2 linked regions of the Saccharomyces cerevisiae S288C genome follow. Changing the gene in region 1 together with any one later gene gives a genetic interaction. Each region holds a gene or a part of one and is shown on either strand. Other genes may lie near its edges.

What was found.
Region 2: mutations in BIO3 (region 1) and YRM1 together harm fitness more than expected from each alone (negative genetic interaction), as found in Saccharomyces cerevisiae (one large-scale study listed by BioGRID).

Annotation. Positions count from the first base shown.
Region 1 is NC_001146.8:729,463-738,360, reverse strand, and holds BIO3 (adenosylmethionine-8-amino-7-oxononanoate transaminase), read right to left. Parts: upstream 4,071-8,898; coding exon 2,628-4,070; downstream 1-2,627. Other genes in the region: MNT4 (putative alpha-1,3-mannosyltransferase), read right to left, coding at 1-1,558; BIO4 (dethiobiotin synthase), read left to right, coding at 4,292-5,005; BIO5 (Bio5p), read left to right, coding at 5,058-6,743; HOL1 (Hol1p), read left to right, coding at 8,175-8,898. UniProt on the Saccharomyces cerevisiae protein: Catalyzes the transfer of the alpha-amino group from S-adenosyl-L-methionine (SAM) to 7-keto-8-aminopelargonic acid (KAPA) to form 7,8-diaminopelargonic acid (DAPA). It is the only aminotransferase known to utilize SAM as an amino donor.
Region 2 is NC_001147.6:652,131-659,483, reverse strand, and holds YRM1 (Yrm1p), read right to left. Parts: upstream 5,275-7,353; coding exon 2,914-5,274; downstream 1-2,913. Other genes in the region: MED4 (Med4p), read right to left, coding at 1-737; DCS2 (5'-(N(7)-methyl 5'-triphosphoguanosine)-(mRNA) diphosphatase), read right to left, coding at 1,159-2,220; sphinganine kinase LCB4, read left to right, coding at 5,600-7,353. UniProt on the Saccharomyces cerevisiae protein: Transcription factor involved in the regulation of multidrug resistance genes. Acts in concert with YRR1.

The DNA.
Region 1 (8,898 bases):
CAGGTGATTGATAGTAATTCCGTAATTCATCAACGCTTTTGTATTTGGCCGCAATCTCTTTACGCTTTGTAAAATCATAATTCCAACAATTTTTTTTGCAAACGGATAATCCGCCATTCAACCACAAAAGATTACCGTACACGTCCGTGTGAGATAGCTGGGTAGAACAGATTGTACTGCTTTCTAGAGTCTCCGGCTTCTCTAATCTTCCTACATTCGAAGCCTCTATTGGATAAAAAGTAAACTCTTTTTTGGAAATAAACAAACTAAGCCAAAACCATTCCTTATCACCATGGAAAAACTCTTGGATAGGCGAAAATTGCAGCATTATTGCGATTGGTAGACAGAAAAAGTGTTTTTGTTTATCGAATATCACTAAGCCGCTGTCCATGTAATGTTTTTGTTTCTTGAAAATCAAGGCCTCTATTGCATCAATTGCCATCTCATCGTTTAGGTTATGTTTTAAGATTTCAAAACCTTGCTCCGAATCCGAGGATACATCCAGACTATTATTGATTATCTGCTTCAAAACTTTAACTTGGAGTGGACTTAACTTGGAGGTTGGAAAACTCCTGTCTTTGAAAAACAGTGTACCTGTTCTTTTAAATCCGTCAATTTCATAGAGTGTATCCAACGGGACAAAAGGTACAGTATCAGAGTCCAAAAAGATTGGTATTTGAAATGAACAAAAGGTAATTGCCAGCCACTTATTCGAAAATCTCTTGAATCTCGCTAAATATTCGTCATTTAACATGTCTTTCACATCCAGAAACCACAATTCCTGAGGGGGATAATTTAAGGATCCAGATTCTCTTGCTGCTGCTATCAAGAGCTGTTGAGAACTCTCATGTAAATCCGATTTGTGAACGATTTCAATTGGAAGGGAATTATTTAACAGCCGCAAAACTCTTATTAGTCGAATTGTATCAGCCACCAGATATTCCGATACGCTCATTACCACACCTTTTGAATTCCTTTGAAGAGCTGAATTCAACCAGTTCTCCCAAAAAGGTTCGCTAGCCTTGAATTCAATGGGTGAAGTTCCAATGAACGAATTGTTCTCAGAAGAAAATTGTAATACCTGTCCACGGTACTTTGTTCCATCAAATCGGGTATGAACAGGCCAAAAATTATGAGATTGTTCACTATTTAGGGCTGTGAAGTTTATATATGGGAACAACTTGGTTTCTATGCTATGAAGAAGGGAAATATCCTGATCAGCACGGATTTCTTTTGAGCATTTTTGATACAAATCCAAATTGGATAGCGATCGGGACACAGTTTTCACATCCTTGCGACTCCTGGTCACGTAAGATATAAAAGATTTCCATCTATTCGGTTCATAGAATTTACTTGTCAATTCCGGCTTTTCATATTCCTCTATTTGACGCAGTCTAGAAAAGCAGTGCACGTTGCCAGAGCGATCATCTTCTCTGCGTGTTTCGAAATGGTCGGAGAATGGATACTGTCGGTAGACCCTAAAAAGAACAATGAGAGACAACAATGATGTGAAGATCAATGGTGCCAGTTTCTTAATTCTTCGTATGCGCAATACCATTTTTTGCAGAGTACGTTTTTAAAGATGGCACTTTTACCTTAACACAAGGGACTCAATTTCATGTTAACAAATTTCATCTTTTCCAAGTGTTACATAGCACTACCGATCCTTTCCTAGGTAACGAAACCATGATAAACTAGTGCTGCTGCTTTAAACAAAGAGGCGCAATGTTTACCTTCAGAAGAGAGGTCATACAATTACTTGGAGGGTAACATTACTAATTTTGCAGAGATTGCAACATAGGTGATCTTATATGTTGAAATAAAAACTACTGCTGATATTGCTTGCTTTGATAATAACAATATTCGAGGGAAAATACTGCCCATGCTACTTCAGTGTGATGGCAAAGCGTTTTCTCATCTAGGAGAGCAACGGTTTGATCCCCGTGAAAAGCCTGGGCCCAGTACATCTTGTAAGATCTTACACAATATTAAGTTATATAGACATCGTTTACTACATTCAAGGTCTTGTGAATAGTTACTGCGGATAGGTTAATAGAGGAAGATATAGTGCAAAATTTCAAGTAGCGGAAGATAATCAAATGCTGAAGGAAATTTACAGGTTTGCCTCAATAATAATCTTGACTCTGCCGGAAAAATTTACCAGAGGGTTCAAAGGTATGAGTTGTACGACCCGGTTCAACAGTAGTTGCTTGAAGAGTAAGCTGAGCCTATAATATCCCATCTTTTCCGTTCTTCTCATAATAAATAAAAGATAGGATCGTGAGATGTGTCAGCTGCTGAGGAGTGTAACTAGCGCTAATGGGAGAACATAGAAGAGAGTACCGTGATGGCACAGAAGGCGGGTAGGCGACCACGGACCATTTCGGTCCAGATTTCTCAACTCGTACTTCCTGTGATACGTTCTTGCCCTGAACTAGTCAATTTTCTCTTGTGCAGCAGGCTTCGACATAGTTTTATGATAAGAAAAGTAAGATATAAAGGTCCGCTAGAATAAATAACCATAAATTTTTTATTTTGAGTTATATCAATATAAATAATAGCGTAAAAGAATGCATTTTACGCAAGAAATAAGAATTCCTTGGCAAATGACTTGATGAGATCGTATATCATTGGTTTATGTGGGATTTCCACTCATGTAATACTTCAATCAAGACTTGATTAACCTTCGTCAATTCCTCTGTCGTGATCACATATGGTGGCATAATGTAACACAGGCAGTTGAAAGGTCGGATATGTACTCCCTTGGATATAAACTTTTTCTGGAACCACTCGGGATCTGTCTTCTTGTATAGCTCTACGATACCTACAGCTCCAATAACTGACACACGCTTAACAACAGTTCCAATGAGCCCATTATCTGGGTTCTTGATGTACTGGTATAGTTCTCTATAAATTTGGTTTTCAATTGCAGACACTTGTTTTCTCCACTCGCCACGCAGTAGTATATCCATAGACTTTTCTGCCACACTGCATGCCAGGGCATTGCCCATGAAGGTGGGGCCATGCATGAAGCAGCCACCAGTAGGGCTATTTGGAGAAGAGATTCTGGAAGCAACTTTGTCGTTGACTACCACTGCACTCATAGTCATATATCCACTGGTTAAGCCCTTCCCAACGCACAATATGTCAGGAACAACTTTGATCTGATCGGAAGGACTGATGCCATGTTGGTCCTGGTATTTTTGACAGTGCTTGAATGCGAAAATCTCACCTGTTCTACCAAATCCTGTAGCAATCTCGTCCATGATGAATAAAACGTCGTATTGGTTACATAGTTTCTGAACTTCGATTAAGAACTGTGGATGGTATGGTCGCAAACCTCCTGCACCCTGTAAGATAGGCTCCAAAATCACAGCACAGATCTTATCACTATGCAATTCAAATTGCTTCTTGAGATCGGTAACTTCTTCTGCATTCCAATGGTCCTCGAAACCGTTCTGGCTGGTTGGAAGGCCATCGACAATAGAGGGAGCTTGGGCGAAGATGTTCTCACTGAGTCGATCGTTGTAGATATGATGCATAGAATTCTCAGGATCACAAACACTCATAGCGCCAAATGTATCACCATGATACCCGTTCTTGATTGTCAAAAACTTTGTTCTATTTTTAGTAGCTTCCCCTGACATGTTTGATTGTAAAGCCATCTTCAAAGCTACTTCCACTGCTACTGAGCCAGAATCTGCGAGGAAACAGTACTGCAAAGAGGGTTCATCAATCACTTTTAAAAGTTTTTGGACTAGATTCACAGCTCCTTTATGGGTGAATCCACCAAGAAGGACGTGAGAAAACTTTAACATCTGCTTGGTAAGGGCCTCATTTAGTTCTGGATTATTGTACCCGTGAATAACACACCACCACGACGACATGGCGTCGATCACCTCGACGTCCACTGGTGAGTCGGTATCCAACACCAGCTTGCATCCGTGAGCACTCTTTACCGGATAAACGTTCAATGGTGAACTCAATGACGTATAAGGATGCCAAATATGTTTTTTATCAAAGTCTAGCAGTTCCGCGACATCTGGTGTATATGAAATTTCTTGGGACATTAGTTGTTATCCTAGCAATAGAAAACGAATTGCGCTGTTGACATCCTCCCGACCAAAAGAAAATGAAATATACAAACAATGGCTATTTATAATTCAAAATTATTGGGCAAAACAAAATAAAATCCCGCTGGTAGTTCGTTTACTGAAGTATATAAAGAGATATACTTTTTTCCACAAGTAGGCCAGTGAAAAGAACTCAAAAAATCACTAGCGCACAGGTCATGAACAGCAAATCTCAACAACAAGAACAACAACCAATTGTATTCGTCACCGGTACAGACACTGATGTTGGTAAAACCTTTGTATCAACATTATTGGTACACAAATGGAAAGCTGCATACTGGAAACCCGTACAAACTGGAATTGAGTCAGATCAAGGTGACTCCGAGACATTGAAAAATTTCAAAATAGCCGCATCAACTTGGCAACCACCTATATTCACGCCCACTTATGCGCTGCAGAAGCCTCTATCTCCGCTCCAGGCCATGGAGTACGAACCTAATGTCGACATCAGGTTGTTGGATTTCGTAGTTCCTGAAGAGTGGAGCGCAGAGAATCCATTGGTCGTAGAAGGAGCCGGCGGGGTTTGCGTTCCTATCACTCGTAAATTGGAAATTACGACGGATCTAATTAAACATCTGATTGAGACTAGCGGCCATCCAGTGTACGTAGTTGTCGTGGCACGCAGCGGGCTAGGGACTCTGAATCATACATTGCTGACTTGGAATCATCTTTGCGATAATGGCTTGAGAAGCCACCTTTTTGGGGTCATTCTCAATGGGGAACCGAATGAAGGCAACGTGCAGGCCCTGAAGAAGTTCGGTGTCAATATTATGGCACAGGTTGCACAATGTACTACGGCACATGATCAGGATATGGAGTTGCATGAACTGCCATCGGTGGAGTCATTAATGACCCAACAAGACGTAGAATAGTTTAAATAAAAAAGTTGCAAGGCTTTCATCAGCTATATATAAGTAGCATGGTATGAACAGAGTAGGGGCAGTGTTCCTATTTGTATATGAAAGAAATTTTTTTTTGTCTATTGTTCCAGATCGTCACAGGACGGAAATAAGAATGTCTAGTTCAGAAAGGTCAGAAGTCAAGTTTGACAAGCACTTTAATTGGTGGTCCCTATTAGGTATCGCGTTCTCATTAAGTTGCTCATGGGTCGGTATCTCAGCGTCGATGGCCGTTGGTATTGCCAGTGGAGGGCCACTGCTTATCATCTATGGGTTGATAATTGCTGCTTTTTTCAGTCTCATGTGTGGTATATCTCTGGGAGATTTTGCTGCTATCCTGCCAAACAGCAGCGGTGGTTCATTTTGGGTTCTTAAAATGTTGGAACAAGAATCAGTCACTTTGAAAACCCCTGAGTACGAGGACCCTTCTGACGATGATGAAGAAGTGTTCCTCGAGAATTATTGTCAAACTTTCAACGTGGAAGTTTCTTCTAAATTTCAAAAGGTTTCTTCCATGGTTGTAGGGTTGCTGAACTATTTCGGTGCCATTTTTACTACCGCAAGTATCTGCTCATCTTTGTCAATGAGCTGTATCGGTATTCATAAGTTGTTGCATCCGGACTACGAGTTAAAGCACTGGCATGTTTTTGTGGGTTACGAGTGTATCAATGCCGTTTTGACACTTTTCAACATTTATTCAACTCCGTTGCCCTATATCTCTCAGTTTGGGCTCTATACGTCTCTATTGTCTTTCGCCATGACTTTCATTATTTGTATTGTTTCAAGATCTGACAACACCGTAGACCCATGGCCCAAAGCTTCTAATATATTTGGGAGCTTTGATAATCAAACAGGCTGGAATTCGTCTGGAATGGCGTTTGTTGTCGGTTTGGTCAATCCGATCTGGGCATTTGTTGGCATTGACTCTGCTACGCACATGATTGATGAAGTGGGTTATAGTAAGTCACGTTTCTTAGTTCCCAAAGTTATTATCACTACCATCATTGTGGGCTTTGTAACTAGTTTTATTTATTGCGTTGGTTTGTTTTTCTGCATCACTGACCAAACGGCAGTCGTTGAGTCTATTTTACCTATCGTAGAAATATTTTACCAGGCCACTGGTAATAGGAATCTCAGTGTCTTCCTGCAATGTATGTGTATCACAACAGGTTTTGTTTCAGGCATTGCAAGTGGAACCTGGCAAAGTCGAATCCTCCAATCATTCGGGAAAAGTTACGCACCATTTTATAAAGAGGGTTCCTTGGGAAACAAATCCTTGAAGAAGCTAGCAGTGTTGACACCTGGGTTTAAGTCTCCATTATATGCCCATTTTTTGTCACAAATATGTGTAACGATAATTGGCTGTATATTTATGGGATCTAGTACCGCTTTCAACGCAATTATCACTGCATGCATCACCCTGTTACTAATGTCGTACGCAGTTCCTTCTTTTATATTCCTGTTCGTTATTAAAAAGGAAAAATTCATTCATAGAATCGAGAGTGACGTAAATTGTGTCAGCAGGCCTAACCGTCGTCGTATGTCTATGATTCCTCATATTATATGTATTCTATGGACCTTGTTCTGCCTGGTATTTTTATCTTTCCCATATACACTACCGGTTACTGCAGGAAACATGAATTACACCTCAGTAGTGTATGCAGTAGTTTTCTGCATTATCAGCATCGTTGTTTTCCCTACATGCATCTAAGATGCTGTTGAAAGAAAAACAGTCCTTATAAATTCCTAGGTCGATACTACCTTTTGTAGCTCTATCGTCAGAACTTCTGCCCTCCTGTATCATAGTTTCATAAAATAATTGTATATTTATTACCAGAAGTACCCTTGTATTACAAAACTAATCGCACACCACAAAGAGTAAAAGTAGGTACCATAGCAGCAGCGCTTAACCTATTCTCCGTCAGTATGAATGAAATATGTGGATTTCGATTACGATTCATTATAAGATCAGAACACATAAAGCCATTTTACTGAGCTATCTCAACTGCACAAACCATAACAAGTAAAAACTAGCTAGTGTAATTAGGAGATTATCGAAAGTCCTGGTCAAGCAGCAAGTTGGGCGAAAGTGTATTTTTGGTCCTTAAATAGTCCCGATTATGGGAAAATTACAAGTCATGACAAAATTTATTTTATAGGTGCACAAAATAGTCTGTAGATATTTTAATATCAAAAGAAAAAAGACGTATTCGCATGATAGTATATACCAAAGAAGAACGATTCAGAGAATGAATGTGGACAAGTTTTTTTGAGGAAAATGAAAACTAGAAAATCAAGGATATTGAGTACTTAGTCATTTTTTTCATTTTTTTCTTCGAGAAAATTTCTTTTTCATTACTTACTTATTTTTGCCAAGACATTTTTTTATCTTTTAAAATATATTCAAATAGTTCTTCTCTGAACAGAATTTTTCTCTCTTATGATGTACAATTACTTTCTTAAGTCACATATAATACCACACAATGCAAAAATTTCATGCATCAGCTCTCTAAGCTTTGAGAAATGTGTAGTTTGACGTTTACATCAAGGCCTGGTTGTGTCATATGAAATTCTACGGATATTTTTAGGGAGCTTTCGCCTAGCGAGAACAAAAGCATAACAAAAAAAGTTGCAGTTGATGAAAATTTTCTTTTTAGGATAAAGTTATTTTCCAGACAGAAAATTAAACTAAAGACCTCGCCGTTAACAAACCATAGTAGTTTAGACTATTTCCTAACCTTTCTATAGATTCATTTAATTGTCTATTGTCTTCAATCTAAACGATAAAGATAAATACGCAGTCGAATAAGAAAGAATTATCTGTATCAGTCTCTGAGGTAATATTTACTGAACCTCCTCTGCAAAAATAAAACAAGCCCATTTTGTTGTCGAAAGCGCTAGCATCCTTAATTTTACGATACTATTTCATGCTATTACTACCAAGTTGACATCCCTTATTATCTTATTTATTTGAAACTAGAAGAATAGCAAGTAAACACTAAATCCGAAAGAATCGAAGTATCATATTACAATCTACAGGATATAACAAAACAGCTTCGCAACTTTTGCATTTCTAACGAATATAAAGAAAAGAACTACTATAGAAGAAAGTTTGCGAGTGTGAATCTTAAATTTTTAACAGATGGACAAATATACCAACAGGGATCATCCGGACTATATTCCTGGCACATTTAACATCTATTCTTCCCAAAATTTGGAAAATGGTATTATATACGAATCAAAATTGAAGAAAACCTCCTCAGGAGTCGTCCTAATCCCTCAACCATCATACTCGCCAAATGATCCACTGAACTGGTCTAGCTGGAGGAAATTGGCTCATTTTGGTCTAATGGCCTTTATAACTGCGTTTACCGCCGCTACTAGTAACGACGCTGGTGCTGCTCAAGACTCATTGAATGAGATTTATGGGATATCCTACGATTCCATGAACACAGGGGCTGGTGTTCTTTTCCTAGGTATTGGTTGGTCCACTTTATTCTTGGCTCCATTTGCTAACTTGTATGGCAGGAAGATTACGTACATAGTTTGCACCACATTAGGTCTCTTTGGTGCGCTTTGGTTTGCTTTGGCCAAAAGAACGAGCGACACAATATGGTCTCAGTTGTTTGTAGGTATTAGTGAGTCCTGTGCTGAAGCCCAGGTGCAACTGTCCCTGAGCGACATTTTTTTCCAGCACCAATTGGGCTCCGTATTGACCGTGTATATCATGTGCACTAGTATCGGTACGTTCTTGGGCCCATTGATCGCTGGGTACATATCTGCATTTACCAACTTCCGTTGGGTCGGTTGGGTCGCAGTGATCATATCTGGTGGCCTTTTAATAACTATTATATTTGGCTGCGAAG
Region 2 (7,353 bases), on another chromosome or scaffold:
TCAAATATAAACGAGTCTGTCTTTGGTGTACCTTCTTTCTTGGCCATCTGCCCTTTTTGTTCTTCACTTTGAGATGGCGGTACGGTCGGTACTTCTGTTTCTTCTACTTCTTCACCGGGTATTCTAGTTAGCTCTTTACTATGTAATGAGGCCATAGCAAGCATTCCTCTTCGTAGGGCATCCTCTGCGGGCCATATAAAATTGTTGGGTCCCACAGCTCCCTTGTCGAACGTTGGTGGTATTTTGGTAAACTTGGAGAGTTTGGTGGCATAATCCAACAACTCTGTCGAATTGATTTTCGATCTTTGCTGTAAAATTGTGTTTTTCTCGAACTCTACTTGTTCAAGCATCGGTAGTGCTTTTAACTCGTCATGACATTCATTTAGAATTTCCAATATCTTCCTGGTTTTAGAATCTAGTTCTTCAGAGTCTTTGTCAATCTTCTGTAAGTTGCGGTAGATATTGTCATATTCAGCTAACAGTTTGACGTTTTCAAACAAGGCCTCATCAGTTCTGATCAAATCCTTGGCAATATCAAGGTTTGGTTTGAAACGATCTACAGATTCCACCAACTTACTCAATGTATCCTCGTACCGGCACAAATCTTCGTAGAGTTGGACCTTAGATAATTTGTCTTCACTATTCGTGTTTGAAGTAGCCTCTGCTACCAGGGATACAGAGGATGATCTGATGTGACCCATAGAAAACTCTACCGCTTTAGTATCTTGGACAGACATAACATTCGTTGTGTGTACTCTGGAAGTAATTGATACTAGATGCTTTCTCCACCGTTAACAATATACCAGAAAACCTTGTTGAAAACGGGACACGTTATAACTACTTTCCTTCGCGGTATGGTGAGCAGAGAATGCAAAAGTTTATCTTTTTCTCCAGCCTACCTTACGTAGGTGGTAATGCACTATTTTTTCGCATTTCTTTGAAAAGGCTGGCAATACGTCAAAGGCTATGTATGCTATAAGGGAAAGAAAGCTTATACGGAAAATAGCAACTGAATGTACTATGTTACTGTGCATTCGCATTCTATGTTAAAATTCAAAATCCATTGAGATGTATACACAAACATTTAAATAAGACATTTATATAAGCCGGCGCTTCCTGAAGTTCAGCACATGAAAAAATAGTGCTGCTCTTCTACCTTCAACCCAAATTGGTATTGAACCCAGAGCCTTTTTCAGGACTGGTTGCGATACCATCATGCTTCAGTTGCTTTTCAACTTCTTCCTTAAAGCCCTTTTTCCATAAATCATGATTTTCACCAATGACATAAGTAAGCGTCTTCTTCATATAACCTTCAGGACCTAAGAAACCCAACGCTTCTATAACATCTTCCAACAGTATTGTCATTCCGGAGCCTCTCTCCTCGCCTACTCCTGGATGCCTTATATTCACTATATGGACATGAAAATGGTAATATGAAGGTTGATAATGAATGAAAACTCTTAGCTCGTCCGGGTTTACATTATAGTCATAGTGCTGGGGGATGATGGTCTTAATCTTCTTATTGAGTCTAATTAACCAATCTCTATGGTTTGGGTTCAAATCTCTCAAAGATTTGATGTCGTCCCTGTACACGATCGCGACCAGGTATAACGAATCAATGTTGATTCCGTCCCACTTCATATCGGGCAAGATGACGAATCCATCCTCTTTATTCCTGCTACTGTATTCCTTATAAACAACTCTATCATCCTCGGCGCCCTCGTAAAGAATGTTGTTTACCCATTTCATTCTTTCGCTGGTACACATCTCTTGGATAAAGGGCACAACTATGTTTCTATACATATCAGGAGTTTCTCTGACGACATGTAAATCCTGCTGGTCGTATCCCTTGATGTGGAACTGCGAGGCGGGCCAAATTAAGTTAACCTTCGCAGTTGGGTTATGCAAAATATGCTGCTTCAAAACAGACAACCCCCAGTAGTAGATGTCATTCGAAGTTAATTCCTTCAGATCAGTAATACCGTTTAAAAAGGAGTACTCGTCTATTTCACGATGAAAGAAAATCGGAGTGCTACGGCCACTTTGAGAGGGTCTACGTACCGTTTCATCAAATATGAAATGCGTCTTTTCAGCAGTTAACACGGCATCCTTCCCATCTATGCTGCCTAGTAGTGAGATTACCTTTGTATGAGGGTTCGAATCTAACACCCTGACGTATTTAAACCTCCCAATTAAACTAGCTAAATCTTGGGAACCCATCATGTATTTTTTTACTTTTACACGCTCAAATCTTTTCAATTTTGCAATGAAAAGGTACCGACCTAACATATATTTGAAGACCAAACGAAACCCCCGTGCTTCTGTTTCTCTTCTTTCTGCCTTTATACTCATTGGTATTGTCACCCCTTATTTCCCCCCTAGGCGTCTGCGCGGCCGCTGTCATGGGGCTGTCCTTTCGGACTAGCATATAATCACTGACGCTAGCTCTAATCGATCAATAATTAAGTGGAAGTATTTTGTTGAGGTGGGTGATTATTATGGGGAAGATTTTTGACAATCGAATGAACACTTTAACAGCTTTTGGAGGCTAGAGTGCCAGTAAGCTCCATACTTCTTTGGAGTTGATTTCTTTTTCTTGCAGAATAGGTTGGACAAAGTACATCCATCAGAACAATTGCAGGTGCCTTTTGTTCACGCAATTACTGGCTTTTCCTTGTTTGTTTGGTCAAGAAGTTAGTGTTTAGCTTTTTCCCTTCATTTTTTTATTTTTCTTATTTTATAGATGCTTAAATGTCATTTTTGTCTTACTAATCATTAAATAGTTGGTCCGAAAGATAGGTCCAAGCGCAAGTCCAAGCCAATGGCTTGCTCTCGACTGTCTTCCATTACAATATGCAAGTTTTCTATCTAGCTGCTGTCGCAAGCATGTTTTTTTGTAAAAGAACTTCTCCTCTACTGCGTATCAAATAAATATTTATAATCTGGCTGACTCATTAGTTCCTCCCAGCCAAGGTTGTACGCCGTCCAAAATTCGTTGGATATTGTCTGTGCCAGTTCAGTCTCAATTGGCCCAGTTTCATTGTTATGCGAAGCGTTTTCGCTGTTATTTCGCACTTCCTCCGGGGGTAATCCTGGAGAATTTCCCGCCAATGGACTGGCGCTTGTGACGCCCAGGTCACTTAAACTGGGATCGATTGGAGTATTTACATTGTCAGTGAGCGAATAGGACCCATTCAATTCGTCTTGGAGTTGTTGTAACCATGTGTTTTCGACCTCGGTTCTATATTTGATTACTTTTTCCAAAACAGCTCTATATATGCTTTCCAGGGCGATGTTGATAACAAATGTATAAGAGCGAGCCATAATAATTCTTAACTGCTTGTTGTTATCATTAGACCATTTAGCAAATATATCTGAATGTATTTTGAAAGCAGTAAGTAAGTTCATAGCTTTATCCAACGGGATATTCAAGGTTGACAAATCCCAATCTGTGACTTCTTGATCTTTGATGTTGGATGATAGATAATAGCCCTTCTCAAAAAGAGTTAACTTATGATACAAAAACGCACAAAAGCCAGTAGAGGCCCTAGGAAAAAGGAAATTTGTGTATACTAAAGACAAGGCCATAAATGGCGGTAAATGAACGCAATTATGATCAAAAAACTCAGGAAAATGCTTCTCATCTAGGTTAAAACACAGTATGGTCGTATTGATGACAAGGGAAAAAGAGACCAAAATGGTTTGCAGGATGTTGTTCTCTAAAACAACGCTTTTTTCCTTGTAAATCAAATACCTCAAGGAATAAAACGTCAACAACAAATTCAAAACCTGCGCAAGCACTTTAATCTCGCACAAAGGAACTTTAGATATTAACTCACTGTCAGTGTAATATGATATTGGGTGGAATTCAGTCTCTACAAAGTTTCTTAGTTTTTTACAATTTTCGGCTAAGTCTGGAAATGCGCTTCTATCATAAATTTGATCTAGCATTGGTCGAGCTAATCTTAAAAACCTTTTAAGCTTGCCCATGCAGGAATTTGACTGATCGAAAAAAACCGTCGATGAATAATTGTTTGTATTTTTAGGCAACCTCTCACCATTCTCGCATTCATCGACTTGAAAATAGGATGAGTTAATCGCCAAACATCTCCCAATATTTAAAGAAACATTGAAATCTGATAATATAATCCAAACCCACAAATTTTCCAAACTTTCCATACTCCCCACAATATTTTCTTGATTTTTGTATATTTCTCTTATATTCAAGTGTAAACCCAGCATAATTGCCGTGCTGCATAATAAGTCAACTAGACTAATCATATGCGAATCGTCTCCACACGCCCAAATTAGTTCTCGATGATAGTATTTCAATAAGAGAAATTGAGCGCGTTCAATGAAATATACTTTAGCTGTTGACAGTCCCGTCAGCATGATGAGAAATTTCTCTATCTCTTCCGGAGTATTTTTGTAGAAATGGCGAATACACAGTATCATCAAAATAACTCCAATCTTATAATAGTTTTTCTTTGTCGATGGTAATAACTTTTCAATCCGCCTTTCACCGTTGGGTAACAGTTCGTCACTTGGAAGAAACGAGGAAGTGAAATCGTTTATTATTTTGGTTTTATCTAATACTTCACTAACTTCATTAGTTTCCAGTTCAGTATTGAAAAAGTCTGTTATAATCTTTGACGATTGTTCAAAAGATGGCAAAACGTTACAAACCTGTTGCAAGATGTCAGAGCCTGTCTTTTCTAACGGCGGTCCCTCTAGGAGTTGAGTTTCTGGCTTCATTGTCCATTTATGCCTAGCCTTCCATCTGTTTCTCTCGATTTTCACTTTGGACCAGAGCTGATTATACGTGTTTACAAACCGATTATCATCGTTTGAGAGATGCGTTCTCAAAGATGTAGGACCATATACTATTCTTCTTCCCGAGCCTTTACATTGTAAATAGTAAAAATTAGCGTAAGGGTTCCTAAATGGGCTCGTACTAAGCGCTACATCCTTCTCCGTCAACTCTTTGTCATCTAGTCTTTTCTCTAAATCCTCAATCCTTTTCAACAGTTCAATGTTCGGAGTACTGCCAAATAACTCTTTTGTTTCTATTTTGTGGGTGAATTTCTCTGTATACAGGCAACCAGAACGACCCCTCGTCTTACAAGTTGAGCACATTGGCTTCTGCTGGTCGCAACGTAATTTCCTTTTCCTACAAAAAGCGCATGACTTTATTGGTTTCCGTCTCTTCTGCGCCTTCTTTACAGTTTCCTCCGATGGGGAAGCTCTATCCTGTAAACTACCCCGCTTACTCATTAACAACTCCCTTTACCAGGACCATTCAATGTGCTTTCCCCTCTGACTTTCTATACTCTTGCCGTTATTATTACAATACCACCTGGCATTTGTCATTTTATCGCCTTGTAAACCATGGGTGTCACCCTACTGCCGAGCCTGAAAAAAACGTGCTGCAAGGGTCTTGAAGCAAAAAGATGATTTAACGGAAGAAAGGCATACAAGAAGGTGAAAATTCGTGTTTAACCCATCTGATACTTTCCCTTGTCTAACGTACTGATCCTGGAGGTTATCAAGAACACAAAAGTCTAGCAGCGAAAAGTACGCGAAGAATCTACTATAGATAATGGTGGTGCAGAAAAAACTTAGGGCTATCTTGACCGATGAAGGTGTATTGATCAAATCGCAATCACACCATATGTTCAATAAGCATGGTCAACTCAGAAGCGGAGATTCTTTATCCTTGTTGAGCTGCTTGTCCTGTCTGGATGATGGAACTTTGAGCTCTGATGGAGGTTCTTTTGATGAGGATGATTCCCTGGAACTGTTGCCTCTTAATACTACCATTCCGTTCAACAGAATTTTGAACGCAAAATATGTGAATGTCGGTCAGAAAGGCTTCAATAATGGCAAAATTTCTTCGAATCCTTTTCAAACGGAAAATCTGAGTTCTTCGTCTGAAAATGACGACGTTGAGAATCATAGTTTGAGCAATGATAAGGCTCCTGTAAGCGAATCACAGTCATTTCCCAAAAAAGACAAGTGGGATACAAAAACGAACACTGTGAAGGTGTCTCCCGATGATTCACAGGATAACTCACCATCTTTAGGGATAAAAGATAATCAACAGTTAATTGAGTTAACTTTTGCTGTACCCAAGGGCCATGATGTTATACCACAAAAATTAACCTTGTTAATAGATCACGTTTCTAGGAAATCGAGAGCAAATACCGGAGAGGAGAACATTTCTTCTGGTACTGTGGAAGAAATCCTGGAAAAAAGTTATGAAAATTCCAAGAGAAACAGATCGATATTAGTCATTATTAATCCCCACGGTGGTAAAGGTACTGCTAAAAATTTATTCCTGACAAAAGCAAGGCCAATACTAGTGGAAAGTGGCTGCAAAATAGAAATTGCATACACAAAATATGCCCGTCACGCCATCGATATTGCCAAAGATTTAGATATCAGCAAATACGATACCATTGCATGTGCCTCGGGTGATGGTATTCCATACGAAGTAATTAATGGGCTTTATAGAAGACCCGACAGAGTGGATGCGTTCAATAAACTAGCCGTAACTCAGCTACCTTGCGGTTCAGGAAATGCTATGAGCATTTCATGTCATTGGACAAATAACCCATCGTACGCCGCTCTGTGCCTTGTCAAATCCATTGAAACAAGAATAGACTTAATGTGTTGTTCCCAACCTTCTTATATGAACGAATGGCCAAGATTATCCTTTTTGAGTCAGACGTACGGCGTTATTGCAGAATCTGATATTAACACTGAATTCATCAGATGGATGGGTCCCGTTAGGTTTAATTTGGGTGTAGCATTCAACATTATCCAAGGTAAGAAATATCCCTGCGAAGTTTTCGTCAAATATGCTGCCAAATCTAAAAAGGAATTAAAAGTTCATTTCTTAGAAAATAAAGATAAAAACAAAGGATGTTTAACCTTCGAACCAAATCCTAGCCCAAACTCTTCGCCGGATTTACTATCTAAAAACAATATCAACAACAGTACAAAAGATGAACTTTCACCGAATTTTCTCAACGAGGACAACTTTAAATTAAAGTATCCGATGACGGAACCAGTACCTAGAGACTGGGAGAAAATGGATTCAGAGCTAACTGATAACTTAACAATCTTTTACACAGGGAAAATGCCGTATATTGCTAAGGACACCAAATTTTTTCCCGCTGCTTTACCAGCGGATGGTACCATTGATTTAGTCATAACGGATGCAAGAATCCCAGTGACAAGAATGACACCAATTTTATTATCCTTGGATAAAGGTTCTCATGTATTAGAGCCAGAAGTTATTCACTCAAAAATATTGGCTTATAAGATTATACCAAAAGTGGAGTCAGGTTT